2 linked regions of the Styela clava genome follow. The protein of the gene in region 2 interacts with the protein of the main gene of each other region in a pairwise test. Links are inferred from orthologs where the notes say so. Each region holds a gene or a part of one and is shown on either strand. Other genes may lie near its edges.

What was found.
Region 1: the proteins of dihydropyrimidine dehydrogenase [NADP(+)]-like (region 2) and Golgi-associated PDZ and coiled-coil motif-containing protein-like interact in a two-hybrid assay, tested with the Homo sapiens proteins (2 studies listed by BioGRID and IntAct). The link is inferred for Styela clava from reciprocal best matches to the Homo sapiens genes DPYD and GOPC.

What each region holds. Positions count from the first base shown.
Region 1 is NC_135257.1:14,746,701-14,754,291, forward strand, and holds the start of Golgi-associated PDZ and coiled-coil motif-containing protein-like, read right to left. Parts: upstream 3,263-7,591; 5' UTR 3,213-3,262; coding exon 2,994-3,212; intron 2,750-2,993; coding exon 2,582-2,749; intron 2,384-2,581; coding exon 2,208-2,383; intron 1,388-2,207; coding exon 1,234-1,387; intron 767-1,233; coding exon 671-766; intron 1-670.
Region 2 is NC_135257.1:11,297,772-11,305,973, forward strand, and holds the start of dihydropyrimidine dehydrogenase [NADP(+)]-like, read right to left. Parts: upstream 3,226-8,202; 5' UTR 3,137-3,225; coding exon 59-3,136; 3' UTR 1-58. Other genes in the region: tectonic-like complex member MKS1, read left to right, coding at 7,154-7,282.

The sequences.
Region 1 (7,591 bases), about 3.4 Mb from region 2:
GTCACTAACAAGTTCAAAAAATGCAAAACGAAATTGTGTGTTTTCATGCCATAAAGTCTATAAATACATAAATCTAGACAGTTATCAACAAAACCGATATCTCAGATGTAGGCCTAGTACCAGTGGAGATAAAAGTCACACCACTAGATGATATTATTACAGTTCATAGATTCCTAAAATATACCGATTGCAATACTACAGGAAAGAAAATAGTGCATCAGATCTTGAAACAACAACTGAATCAGATCCAAAACTCGAGTGGAAAGGTTAATAAAACAGCTGATAAATGTATTTCCTAATCACAGACCTCAAAGCTGCCCAAGTATGAGGCAAGTGTATGAATATTTGATGAAATATTGATTATACACATTGAATAGATACTTATTTTATCTGCAACATTGTAATCAGTGTTGCGAATAAAATAAATATTTTAAAAACATCCTATGTTACAGGGGTAACCTTACAGATTGAATCCATTTAATTTAAATCAAACTATACGAATACTTTTACACTGGAAAATGATTCATAACATTATATTGGATCGATGGATTCCTTACATATATCATGAATTACCTTTGAAAACAGAAATGTAAACTTTAAATTTTTTGCTGCCATGAATCTCAACTGAGAAATTCCCATGGATAAGCAAATAGAAAAATACTCCACTTACCGTAATTGATATTCCTAAACCCTCTTCAGGCCTTTTTTCAATTGTAACCTTTCTCACATGACCAACACCTTGGTTTTGTGGACCATCATTATTTATCTGTCAAAAAATATAGCAAGCGTAACTTTAAGTGAGCAAAAAATAAATAAACAAATGGACGTGAAGTTCTATCAGATTAAAACCATTTTCAAATTGCTCATCAAATTTTATTTGGACTCCAACTCTTGTTATAACCAAATTTGGGCCACTCTGATGTGGGAGACTTTATTAATTTCTGCTAAAAAATTTGATTACTCTTGGCAAAAAAAGTTTGAAAATATAACAGTCAACTTTTGCGTCATATATCATAACCAAGATTTCCACATATGTTCTCTTCTGGTATTACCCACGAACAGAGTGACATTTTCGGACATATATTGAATACCAACAATCAAAAATATTTGGCAAAAAAATCCACGCATGAAGCAATACAACAGCTTCTATAAATATGTTAGGATTTTGCACTAAGGTGCCATGTAACTTTCAATTTACAAAATATATTCCAAAGTGAAGCATTTCATTCTTACATGCTGTGGGGGTGAAGGTAGATTTCCATTTCCCCTGCAAGCTTTTATGACTGTTTTATGTCGATGTAAATGAATTTCAGCTTCTAACTGACTCCACATCTTTTCAAAATTATTTGTTTGTATATTTCTTCCCAAAAGTTGAATTTGTTGAATTCTGAATGTTTAAAAACAACAAAATATGAGAATGATCACATGATACATTTGTATCTTTCACCGATGCAATCATTTTCACAAATGTTGATGTATTTGCATTCCAGATGCACTTGTGGGTTAGTAACAGGTTTTTGAATATGAGATTACATATAATATTTTTATACGGCACTTATTCATGCCTTTCTCTCCGAACAAGACTTTATACAAGAAGCCACCGATATCTAGCAATATATAAGTAGCTTCTATTATTTGGAGAGACCGGAATCTTTCTGGTTTGGTATTAACGTAACTACCCAAATTATTACACCCTGGGTGAGTTGGGGGGACCATGGAATTTGAATCAGAGATGTGAAATCTGCGAGGTCAACACAGTATCTTAGTAAATCTAAGGCTTTAATTAACCGCAGAAAAAGGGCTAGCCCAGTAACACATATGAAGAAATTTAGAAAATAAATAAATCTAATTAATGTTGGTAAAACATTCAATATCCAACCAATTTACTATAAAAAATCGATGTTCAACAAAAAATATAAAGAAAGAATTTAGAGCAATATAAATAATAAAAATGGTGACCGTACATTTGAACCCACGTACATTTGAACCCATGCGTATATCCACTGGTTCAATCTATATGCGGGTGCTAAAACCCATGGGTTAGGGTTAGTATGGGTTTAACTATCCGTGAAACAAAAAAAATTCCATAGGTGCAATAGCATACAGGTGCAATTGTCATGGGTTCAAATGTACGTGGGTTCAAATGTAATGGAACCAATAAAAATATATAACAGAATTGTACATTCCTGTTTCTGGTGTCATATTACCTTCCTGCTAACTCTTTGTCAAGATATTTTGCAGCCAATCTTGCACCAAACAACTCTTTCTCCGACAATGCTAACCTTTCTTTGAGTTTCTCATTTTGAGTTTCATATAATTTCACAGTTTCTCCTAATAATGCTTGCTCTTTCGCATCTTTCTTAAAATTTCTTAATTCTTGTTCCTGGAGAATATTTATTTTAAGAAGTTAGAATGTTGAAAAGCAAAACAGATATAGATAAGAGATGTTTGTTGATTTTCAAAATAAATTGAACTAAACCAAAATGACATAAATGCTATACAATACTTAGTGCATAATGGGAATTGCTGTCAGTTCACAAAATCAGTTTTAATTTACAAAGATAGAAAAATAATACAATACCAGATTTTCTTTTATTTTTGTTGCATCCATTGGATCTGAAGTTGTTGTGCTGTGTAATTGAAGTTGAAGTGCGTGGATTTGACAAAGAAGTGTGTTTGATTCTGCTTTTAATGCCTCCACTTCTGCACGACAATCCAATAATTCAGTTCGATAGTGAATGAGTTCTGCCTAAATTTATTCAATTGCAGAATTGTGTTTTAGTCAAAGAAGATGACCACATGAGTACTCGAAAAGACAGAATAGACTACATGGGTACTCGAAAAGACAGAATAGAATCAATTAGATGCTCAATCCGAATTAAAGAATGGATGAGCAACCATGGTTTGCAACATGATTAAGTCATCTTATCAGCATTATTTCATGACCCTGTGGATAAAAATTCATATTAAATTATAATTTCCTTCCAACCTACCTCTAATTTTACATTCCTCTGAGCAGCACTTTGTGATTTGTGGCATAACTGAGAAAAACATGAACTGAGAGAACTCATCTTCTCTTTCGCTGTTTGCAAAATATCATCAACATCATCAAGTTCTGTATCACCGAGAAGTAGGTCAAGGTCCACATAAGCTCGATCAAACTCTTTCTCCAGTAAATCAAATGCTGATAAAAGTGATGCTGCACTAGTCATATTTATAAGTTAATGCAATCCAAGCCAACAAGCTGTAATCGATAAAAAGTGGATATTTTGGTAAAATACGGTACTTGCATCACTGAACCAGACAGCCTGATTGACGGACTGACGGACAACGCGACTACCTAGAGGCCTGGTGAGTTGTCCTTCTTTTGGCATTTTCTACGGTGGTGTTTTAGGTCTATAGAAATGCGTTTTTGATATTTTTAGTGCTCAAATGTTGAGAAAAAATACATAAATATGCTCTAGAAAGAATTTAGCGAAGTTAGACTGTTGACTTATAGGACTGAAGATATGACTGAAGCATATTTATGTATTTTTCTCAACATTTGAGCACTAAAAATATCAAAAAGCATTTCTATAGACCTAAAACACCACTGTAGAGGTAGAAAATGCCAAAAGACGGACAACTCACCAGGCCTCTAGGTAGTCGAGTTGTCTCTGGTGAGTTGTCCGTGTAGTCGAGTTGTCCGCCTCCCCTAAAGATCAGTGTACATCTTGCTGTCTTGTGGTTTTATAATTCAGTAATTACCGGTACGGTACCGTACCATCAGACCATACTGAACATATACTGATATATGAATACTATGGCTTAACCTTAACGTAACACAAAGATCGGGGCTCTGAAGGTATAGGCTAGCATAGGGCTACTCAACTGGCGGATCGCGGTCCGAATCCGGACCTTTTGACCATTCGATTTGGACCGCGTCCACTTGTTTATTTTGGCAGCACAAGCATAGTTATGAAGTGGCAAATTTTGTGCACCGCACGAAACAAAACTGTTCTCCAAATACTTTTATGAATTATTCTTAAAACATGGGTTTAATCCACAATCACGGCACAACCTATTTGTTCCAAGGTCAGACTCGATTTTACAAAAATCCATATTGTTTCAAGGTCCGGTTATTTGGAATGAAATTAGTCAGGAAATAAAAGACTGCAGGTATGCAGGCTTCGCCCGCAAACTTTTTAAAAACAAGTAACATACTCACACCATCGGTCACTGATGGTAGGAGGGCAAAAAACTACTGTGTTTTAACATATTCAATTGAGTTTTGTTTTTTTCTCTTCTGTGTTAATTCATTTTCAGTGTGTGTTACTTTAGCTCAATTTCGTTGACAAAATGATAATATTATATTTTTGTTGAAGGCTGTGGCCATTGAGGTGTATATAACCCTGAGGTTATATCACACCTGAACCTGAATGGCTGTGACTGACTCGATGGTCTCGCAACCTGTCGCACTTTAGTGCGAATGCCCAGTCTAACTAGTCAGGTATCCCTGTCCGCATGACGCAGAAAATTTTTGGAAACGATCGGGCCAGAGGAAAGGGGTCAAAACGGGGTTTTTGTGGCCCGAGGCTGTTCATTGGTCAATCAGCTGTCAATCAAGTCACGCTAGAGTGATTTAGGGGTTCAGAGGCCGTTTAGCTAAGTTTCCGGGGCCGGAAAGCGTTTGCCCGAGTATTAGGAATTTTTTTCCAAGTCTTTTTGGCGGTGGGGGCTGTGCCCCCACGCCCTCTGTGGTGAGAAAACTCGTGCAAAGCCACGCGCACTTAGGTTCTATTGTTTTTAGGGATTTCTGAGGCATGTGAATGGGGTTTTGGGCCAAGATTTGCCTAATTCTCAAAGAGTATAATTATTTGAAATTTTCTTTACTGAAAAATCGGTGTTTCCCCCTCCCAATCGCCCTCCAGTGGCGTAAGAAGGTTGCGCACTTAAAAATAGAGCTATTGAGAAATGAAATAGATAGGTATGGTTGGAAAAATTAGCTTAACATTGTTTTGAAGAAATTTTTGTTCTCTTACTCCCCAGTCACGCTTTAGTGATTTTGGCTTATTGCAGGCCTCTGAAAGGACATATTGAGAAAGTGAAAGCATGGGTATATTTGGAAAAATTATTTGAATCTATTTTGAAGGAATTTTTTTTCTCCAACTCCTCAGTCATGCTCCAGTGATTTTACGTTATATCTCGAGAATGGTAATAGGTAGAGATGCCATATTTGGGTCATACAAGTTAATTGAGGTCTAGTTTATGTCAAAAAAAATTCGTCACAGTTGAGTGATCACGGGCCCTAAAATTAATAAAACTTGATTCCCATTGGGGATGATCAGTTTCTAACCTAGTATTTAAACTATTTAATGGACTAAAAAGGTCGGGCGCAACGACCAGGGTCTTCCAACAAAATCAGAACAAACACCTACTTTTTACCTTACTAAACACATTTCTTTACATTTCCCCTCGCGGGTAGCGAAGCGACCGACCCCTGGATGACCTAACGGTCGCTTCGTTACAGCCTCGTCACAATGCCTTACAGTTAATTTTAAAATGTTGTATGTTAACTATTTGACATTGTTGACGAAATAAAATACTACTACTAGTTTCAGATGATTTTGATACTATTTACATACACAGGATGGAAAGATCCATAGGATGTTTCCCCGACCTTTGAGCCCAGCAAAATTCTCCCTATAGCCTACTTTACTATTGCAAAATTTTGGATGGGTACCTATTTTACGAGTGTTTCAGAGACTGTTTTACTTGCTCAAAACCATTGCTTTTATTGAAATATACAACCACGTGCCACTTACACGCTCTTTTGAGCATACCGGTCTATCGCAGCTTACCCGGGACTAATTTTTGATTGAGCTAACTCTTGACCCTCTTGAGTCTTGACTAATGACAATTAAGGATAGGATTTACATATTTATCCCGGGGGAGAGGAAAGCCGATAAGACGGCTTATCCATATGGCGAACCACGGCCTCTCGTCCGGTTACCATTCCAAGTCGGGTATGGGATTAGTTTTACTGTATTGTTTGTTTTTGGAAGCATGGATTTGGTGGTGGAGGAAGCCGTAACCGACCAGCGGTTACGTGAACCACCCAACGACGGCGAGGAGTCCAGCAATCCTCTCGCACATAACCATCCCTGCATGGGATTCGAACCTGCGAACCCACGCAGAGTAGTTAGAGGTGCGGTGGCGAGCGTAACGCTTAGCCCGTTGAGCCACACCGCCGCGCCTAAAAAAATTAAAATACTTCATTCACAACTAATTTTCAGATAACACGCGAATCCGCAAAAACGAGGATTGTTTACAGTCATGCTTGAATATCTGTCTAAGCGGCTTCAAAAAATTTAATTGTTACGTCATCGTTGACTTTTTGCTGATTGGCCATTGTTACGGAAATAATCAAGGAAAACGATGCTCGTGGAAATTCAATACAGTTTTCGTACTGGTACCGATGTGCGGCATTTGTATCCATATTTTGAGCCATTCATTGCCCTTGTACCTATTTAATTAAATAATGCATTTGAAGTTTCGTTTATTTAATGCAGAGTTTCCCAACCCGAGTCCGCGGTGTCAAATGAATTTACGGTTTGAGTCCGCAACGAGCCAGAAATTCATTGCGGGCCACAAACGTTTTTGCGAAACTTAAATATCAGCCAAGTTACGATTTACGTCAGAATTTACATAAAACATAAAAAGTAAGTTTATTGTCATAGCATTAATCGAGTCAATAATTCTGGTTACTGATATGACTAACATGTGACGCGACAGGTCACTTGCGCGTCGCTCAATCGAAATTAGATTTCCCAACTTACTTACCTGAGTGGTGTTTCTCGCGAGTTCGAACAACGAGGAATAAATTTTATTTCTGGTACATATCAATGGCGGCAACCCAAATTTTGTAAATTGAAAAGCGACAATACAAAATACTAAAAATAAACACCATAAGTTTTGTTTTATGATGGTCCGCGACCGATTAAAACGCTTTTTTATACATTGCAAATCGCAAAATTTCGGGTGCTACCGTAGTATACGTACCAGGGCATTTTCCCTTAGGATTCTTTGCTTTACTGCCTTCACATTGGTACGTACAGTACTGGAGCGCAGTAAGTGTTGTACGAACAGCTCAGATTTGTCGAATTCACAAAAATACGAATCAAAACAAAATATAATCGGGCACTTTAATAGGCATTTTTATGTCCACTGATTGTCATGGGATTTTCTGAGTAGTTAGTGTGGCGTAGTATGTGTACCAGGCTAGGGTTAGGCCGTAATTTTTTTTCCAATTTTCCTTTTTTTAGTTCTATAACGAGTTTGGGGACTAGCGTTACTGCTACTACGATATAACTTGATATTATCTCAACCCCAGTAGGGGTACCGGTACTAAACAACTTTGATCCTTGGACAAAATATGAAAACAGAAAGAAAAAGTAACCTAATGCAGTAATGCGTTCGTTTACAAGTTTATGACCCTGTCATAGTAATACAAAGGACTGTTTGAAAGATAATTTAAAAAAATAAACCTGTGTTAATTTACGGAAATTTTTTACCCACAATCCGAGTAGTGTTCACTTTCATAATTTTATAT
Region 2 (8,202 bases):
TAGTGACATTTAAATGTACAAAAGTTGTAAATTGTGGATGCAATTTACTTGACTCAACCTAACTTAAAACTCCAACTGTAATTGGGATTCCTCTATTGGGAATGTAAGGAGTTTCTCGTTTCTCCATTTTTATACAATCGATAATAGGACATACACTTGCACAAAGTGTGCATCCTGTACAAGAGTCATTTACCGTTGGAAGATGAGTGACTGGATCAAACACAATTGCTTGATATCCTGAATCATTGCAAGCCATGTAACATTTTCCACAATTAATACACATTTCAGGGTCGATAACAGCAACAACTTGTTCTTTGTTGTTCAAATCATTGTATGCTCCAATCATTGGTAAAGCTGCACCGATTACATCACTAACTGACACTATTTTTCGCATGGGAATATTTAGGGATGCGGGAGTTGCTGATGTGTTACTGATATCTAAAGATTCTTTGGATTGCGCAACAACTGTTTGTCTTTCTTTTTTGAATGGACCAAAGTGAGGTAGATCTTTTCCGATCATGCTGGACATATTATAGGCCTTTTTTCCAAGCTGGTGTCTTGGTGTGACTGGTGACTGTCCATTCCAACTCTTATATTCTTCAGAGGATTGCATATATAGCAACGCTTTCAATCCATTCACATAATCTTGGATTAAAGTGAAATCTTGATTTTGGATTGCACTGCACACTTGAAGAACAGTTGCTCCAGCCTGGAGGTATTGCAAGCCAACCTCTGCAGAATCGATACCACCTGTTGCTAAAATAGGAAATCCAGGAAGGGCACGAGCAATTGCTGAAACAGCACGGAGGGCAATAGGACGTATTGCATTGCCTGACATTCCTCCATATGTTGTTTTCTTACTAGCTCCTACTCTGGGCCAAGCACTTCCATCTGAATGTAATCCCATCAGTCCAGATACCGTGTTTGTTGCTGTTACACCATCAGCACCTCCCTCCTTTGCAGCAGTAGCAATCGTAACGATATTTGTAACATTTGGTGTAAGTTTTGCAAAGAAAGGTAGCTTACTTGCAGCTCTCACCCACCTACATATATTCCTAACAAGTTCAGGATCTTGCCCACAAGCCAGCCCCATCCCTCGTTCTCCCATGCCATGGGGACAAGAAAGATTCAGCTCTAAGGCATCAGATCCAGCTTCCGTTGCTGCTTGAGCTAGTTCAGTCCAGTCTTCTTTGTTATAACCACACATGATACTTGCAATCAATATTTTTTCTGGGAAATCCTTCTTCAGTTCAGTTATACTTTGGCACCAATACTGACGACTTTTTTCACTAATGAGCTCAATGTTCAAAAACGATCCTTGTCCTGGACCATAAAGTTGACCGGATGTTGTTCCTCTAACAATACGAGGTGACACATTAGTCACAATATCTTTTTCTAGAGAAAATGTTTTTGTTAGAGCAAATCCCCAACCTTCTTCGAATGCACGTCGTATCATTGCAGATGTTGTCGTTGGAGGTGCACTTGCTAGTCCAAAGGGATTTGGAAATTTCATACCACACAGCTCTATGCTTACATCAACTTTATCTATTGCTGTAAAGAAATTTGGCAACCTTGGGACTTCTGATACACTTTGGCCATGGCAACTCTGAAGATATTTATGCATATACCAGGCTGCTGTTTTTCCATCATTTACTGCTTCCACTGTTGTATGTGCTTGGCCTGCAATATCACCACCGCAGAAAACCCATGGCTCACTTGAAACCATTGTGTTGGTATCAACTTCGGGAAAACCCCAAGAATTGAATTTAATCGGATCCAATGCATCTTGCACATCGGTATCTGTCAAAGAAGATCCAAATGCTGACAAGATATAATTTGCCTTCAACTTTGTTGTCTGCTCATAATCTTCTACCCAATTGCCATCATCATCTTGAGTGGTGCGCACGAATTCCATGCCTGTAATTTTGCCATTCTCACCTTGGAAGACTTTCAATGGAGACAGGAAAGGTAAAAATTCACATTTTTCTTCTCTAGCCAGCTCCATCTCTTCGGGCACAGCTCTAATATTTGTGAATCCTTTGCGGAAAACTACAAATACCCGGCGTGCTCCACACCTTAATGCTGAAGTGGCACAATCAAAAGCTGTATCCCCTGATCCAAGAACAATAACTACACCACCGATAAATGATGGAAGCTGAGTTTTACATGAGCACATACCAGGCTTTGAGCCTCGAGCAACTAAGGGAAGAAACTCTTTTGAGCTATAATATCCATTATCCCTCGTGAGATCTTTGAATACAGGGATTTTCTTTGGTTCGGGTAGTCCAATACCAACAAAGACACTTGTGTAGTTGTCTTTTTTCAATGATTTTAATGTAATTTCACCTGCTTTAAGAGCTTTTCCAGTTTCAACTTTAACTCCCAAATCTTTCATCAAATCAACTTCAAATGAAACAACATTATAAGGTAGTCGAAATTGAGGAATCTCAGATGTACTCAATCCTCCAATGTAGTCCATTTTTTCGAATATAGTGATATCTGAATATCCAAGTCTTGCTAGAAATGTAGCACAACTTATGCTTGCTGGTCCACAACCAATTAAAGCAATCTTTTGCTTGTAAGCTGGTTTCTGAATTTCATCCCCAATAGACGGGTCACGTATCTGTGGGATTCTCATATCACGAAATATCTCTGTTGCAAACTGCTGTAACCCGCCAATATTTATAGGACCTTCTTCCGAACCATACAGATTGCACCCACCAACACATAAATCACTTGTTGGGCATACCATTCCACAAGTGAGTCCGAGAGGATTATCGGAGAAAATCTGTTTAGCTGCACCATAGTAATTTTTATTTGCAATGCTAGTAATGAAAGACTTAATATCTAGCTGAGTGGGACAGCTCTTCTGACATGGTGCATCGGCGCATTTCAAGCATCTCGCCGCTTCCTTTAACGCTCCACGCTCACTCAAAGTCGTATGTTTGATATCGTCAAAATCGTTTTTCAATGGTTTACATGTGGAACAAGATTTGTCCGAATTTCTCTTCCAGTGCTTACGCGCTTTCTTTGTAGCAACAGTCGTTGTCAAGGTAGCATGATGTTTTGTCCGTGGATTCAACGCCAATATGTTTTCAATGTCAGGCAAATCTTTGCTTAGATTTACGTACGCCATTGCTAAAATTAGTGTAAAAGATAGTAAAGTAAAGATAAAACACACTTTGTAAATAAATGCGCTGAAGTCACTCCACTCAATTTAACTCCCATCAATAACGAGACTGAACAAACTAGCGCTCTGCTTTCACGGATGCGTGCAAGTAATTTGACTGGCAATCACGCTTAGCAATAATAACCCTGCTTTCAAACAATTCCCGGATATCCCGCCAAGCCTGAAGTGTCGTTAATCACAAGCTTAGTGAAGGCGCTGAATATGACGGGTATATTTATTACGCTATTTCTAACACCTGTGCCATCTGCAAGTTTCTGTTATTTTGCAAAGTTTGTACGTCCCTATATTGAAGAACACAGTTTCTTTATATATTTGAACAACGCCCGAATACCTCGATGCCCCGATTTTAACTAGACATATTCGGCGACATATATTTGTTATGTGCCGAATGAATGTTTACCTAAATCAACCAAATAAGATGTAGGAATGCACAGCGAATTAGCGGAAAGAATTAAAAATCGGGAAAAATTTTCCGTCGCATAGAAGGTTCCTAAAATTTAATGCTTCCACTGCAGATCCTATCCCAACACTGGTTATCTTACATTTGGCCACGACACAGTACCGTCGCTCGCGTTTCTTCCCTCTTTGCATACGATCATAAAACTTGAAAGTGTATGCTCGCGATCTTATACCAGACAAACAACCTTATGTGAAATCGTGCCCGTGAGCTTATCTATCTGCAAACTCGTATATTCCTTGTATATCTTGGAAATCAAAAACAGTGTTTACATATCAAACAACCCATAAAAAGCAAATACCGTATGAGTTCTACCAGCAACGTTCACTGCGATACTTATAATATATGCCATTCATTCGATTTCTAATCACGCTATCAATCAGTATAATTGCTATGTCAATCTATGACGCAGTGGTTATACTACATTTTGCAGTGTTTCAAACTTTACAGTTATATAATATCCAATACCGCGTTAAAATAACTATTGTAGAAGTGATATAGAGTTTTCTGAAGTCTAAAATCTAAACGACTGCTCACAGTACATACCCGCTCTGTGGTATCAACAACGGCGCATCTTATACTTATATATTCTGCATTTTATGTAACTAGCAATCTTACACCGTCTGTGGCCTAGACGCAACATCAAAACGCAATGTACTCGCGATAATGCGATCTGTCGTGTTTGTTTTCCTATCTCTGATCGTAGAGCATTGTCTACAAAATTACGAATACGTGACGTAAACCACGATTGCCATGATTCGTAGAAGTTCCCTTTTTCGCGTTTGTCGCGTCGAAAATAACAAAATATATATTTACCAAAACGGTTATAAAACGTTTAGTTACATAATACTGTTATGAAGCGCGAGTGGCGATTAGCGATAAAATGGAAACATATCGGAGCGACTTATTTTTGCAAAACCGATCACGCGTAACCTATCGTTAATTTTATATAAATAGTAAAATCGCAGTGCTTATCGTCGTTGCGTCAGGCATGCTGAATGGCTATATCCGCCAACGCCCATATTTATTCGAGAAGTTTCACAATTTGACTAGGTAAATAAAATTGATCACGCATTTATGATAGGGGTTACTAATGCAGCGAAATGAATTTTAATTATAATCTCACGTCCTAGAATGAATTTCATCCGATAGCGCAAAAATATAACCTTTTCCTCGAAAAATCGAACTCATTTCATACATAATCAAAACCACCCGCCATAATCTGCCGCGACGGTACTTATGAGCAAACTGGATGGGAAATATACCCTCGAGCCCAAAAATAATGTTTCGGTACTAAAGTAGGCTTAACTGAAATATCCCGATCAATTAATCATTGAATTTATCCTCTTTGGCAACCTCGCTGTTCTTTCGATTATAAACTGGAAACGTGTGACACGTGGTGTTAAGTCATTTTGGTCATATTTTTCGAATGTCTCGTAGTTAAATAAATGTATTGTATTGACGCATTACAATTTAAGGCCATGTTTTACAAGTTTTTTAATCTAGCAAACAACCTAAAATCTCAATCTAACAAATCTCGTTTTCAAATTACCGTCAACTGATCTATCATTATAAAACCATAATATACATTTGATCATTTCAAAATTCCCGTTTCTACTAATTTGCCTGTTAATGTATAACGCTTTCAAATTTATAATTTCAAACATATTTTGATCACACCCACCTTTCTACGACGTTGCGTCAATAACGCACGATCACATCCGCAAGTATTGCTGTCGACGACCTGAACGCAAACCTTATTATTCTTTTAATTACCGGATATTGATCTCCCTGCGTCCAGTCGACTCTTTTTAAGGCCTTCCGCACGCGTCGTTTATGTACAAATGGTTGAACTCATAATAGAAACAAGGACTAAGCTATAAACGGCACTTGATAATGCCAACAACGATTGTATTGTTGTTGTTGCAAAGCGCAATTGGTACATTTCCGACCACACTGTTTGCTCCGCTCGTATTTCTTACTAATTTTTCATGACAAATGAATAAAGTTACATCTAGTACGTTTGGCCAAACATGGGAAATGATCGAAACGCGTGTTTTAAAGAGCGGTCTTTCTACAATCCGTACCTGATACGAACAGCTACATCAAACTATTTGTTAATGTTGCTTCAACAGTCAAGAACTTTGCAATAAAGACATACTCGTTCCCTAAGATAACGATAAATTGTGTTAACGAAATCAGTGCAATGATGTAAAACTAAATGATACTCTAGAATAGCACAAGTAATTGAATAAATTTGATATCAGACTTTGATCATTTCTCGGAGATACAAATTATTCACCAGCGGAGTTTCTGTATTTTTTTTCTTCCGCCCAATTAGTATAGTACAACGTCGCACAATCGCGTTTTAGATTGCCTTGCACTGTGCCATGTCCTATAATCTCTAATGACCCTAAGATATAAAAATCATTAGACAATTATTTTTTCGGAGACGGAAGAACATACGGTACTTACAAATCCAATCCGTCTACTTTACCTGACCAATTAACCTTCAGAATATAATGCAAGTATATTTGCACTCGGCTTCCTGAACCTATATAATTTTATATTAGTCGTTTAATCATATTTGTCGAAGAACTGCCTTTTTCATGTTGTACCAATGAATATGACACCAGTTCAACTACGGGGCATCGACTAATCTGTGCTTCTCAGCAAAAATGTATTTCGGACTTAAACGTGATCGAACATAATTCAATATTGAGAATCAATAAATTCGAAAAACACGGTTCCACGCTTATATGTCACAGACAAAAAACACGTGTTCTGGACTCGTGTGTGACCTCATAAACATTTTTTGTAAATACTGATATCAATCTACAAACAACGATGAGATTGTGTTTGAGGGCAGCGTTTGCCGCACCGCTGATTACCCTGCCTAGGCAGGTTCGAATACCGTTGGGGGTGATGATGTCGGATTGCCGGACTCCTCGCTATCGTAGGGTGATTCACATAACAGCTGGTGAGTTTCGGATTCCCCGACCATCCAGTTGATGCAATTGGTTAACTATTTCCGACTGGTAACTGGACAAGAGGTCTTGATTCGCCCTATGAATAAGTTGTCTTATCGTCTTTCGTCTCCGCTTGTGATAAATATGAATATCCTTTTCTACTATTTTAATATTTTACTATACCTGCTATTGGATCTACACAAGCATCCTTTCTAAATTCAATATTGAAAACCAAACCAGACATCGAAGATATCAATATTGTCAAATCTAATACACCATCAATCATATAGGTATCAATTTATGAATTAATGAGTGCTTACATAACTTTATATTTCTGTACATCTTTATTAGGAAGTACTTTTCTCATTTGCCCAACTATAAAATATAATGATCTGCATGTGATCCATGCGATTGAAATACAGAGCATAATTTTGGGAAAGTTATTTCATTGCTCTAAATATGCCCAAAGAGGTTGTTGAAAATGAAAATTGCTTACATTATTGGAAATATTAATAAATATACGTTTAAACTCTACAGGGGCCAAGGTGCAAGAGGTTTGAAAATTGTGGTGAAAACTCCAAGTGATGAATTTCGACAAAACAATCATGTGATTACCACACCGACACATCGGATGCTCATCATGGCTGACCTCAGTCCTGAAGGGCAGTAAGTACTAATACACTTGTATCGTAACGATCCCATTTTCATTGTAGATTATGGATAGGATAGAATAGTTGTGTGATATTCTCTATGTCTATGGTATTTCACACCTGCACTCTAAACAAGGCTCTGTATACATAGTCATTAATACATAAGGAGCCACCCTTTTTTGAAGGACCCGAATCTTTTGTTTTATATTGCCCACCCAATTTAATTACATCCTTGGTAGTGGGCATGAGATTGGAACAAGTGGTGACCGAACCTGTTTTTGGGATGTCATGATAATTAGCGAATCCGTTTTCAGACGGTCATAGTAAATGATGTGAAAGTTCACCACAGCTGACAACTAGCGTTATATTTGACATTTCAAAGGTTACATATTGGATTAATGTAAAGTGTGTCATCTTATTGCAGTTTACGCAGTGACATACATATTCTTTTTAAAATGATGGTATCTGTTGTTAGCGAGTTTGATACAAAAGAGAACACATTCCAAATCCCATCACTGATCGTGAAAAAATGGGATTCACTTCCTTGGTTAACTTGGGACTCATACACTGCCAAATCGTTTTATATCTGTTGTTTCTTCTGCTCTAAATGTGGCTCAATGAAATACAATTAACGATATAATGTGATAAGTCAGTAATAGTTTATTATTAAAGCAAATAACTCAAACCGACATAGCACATGCTAAACATATCATCAAGGCAGACTGCCAGTATTTATACTGGTGACCAATGAGGCCCGCAATGAAATAATGACATGACAGTAATGATTACTGTAAACAAAAACATAAGATTAATAGGTAACTATTGAACTATCATAATGTACCCAATTTATTGCCCTCTGCTTGAAGTGGTGGAAAGGGGGCACGAACTACAGATCACAATGGCCTGCACTATCTTTTCAATGAAATGAATAGAGAG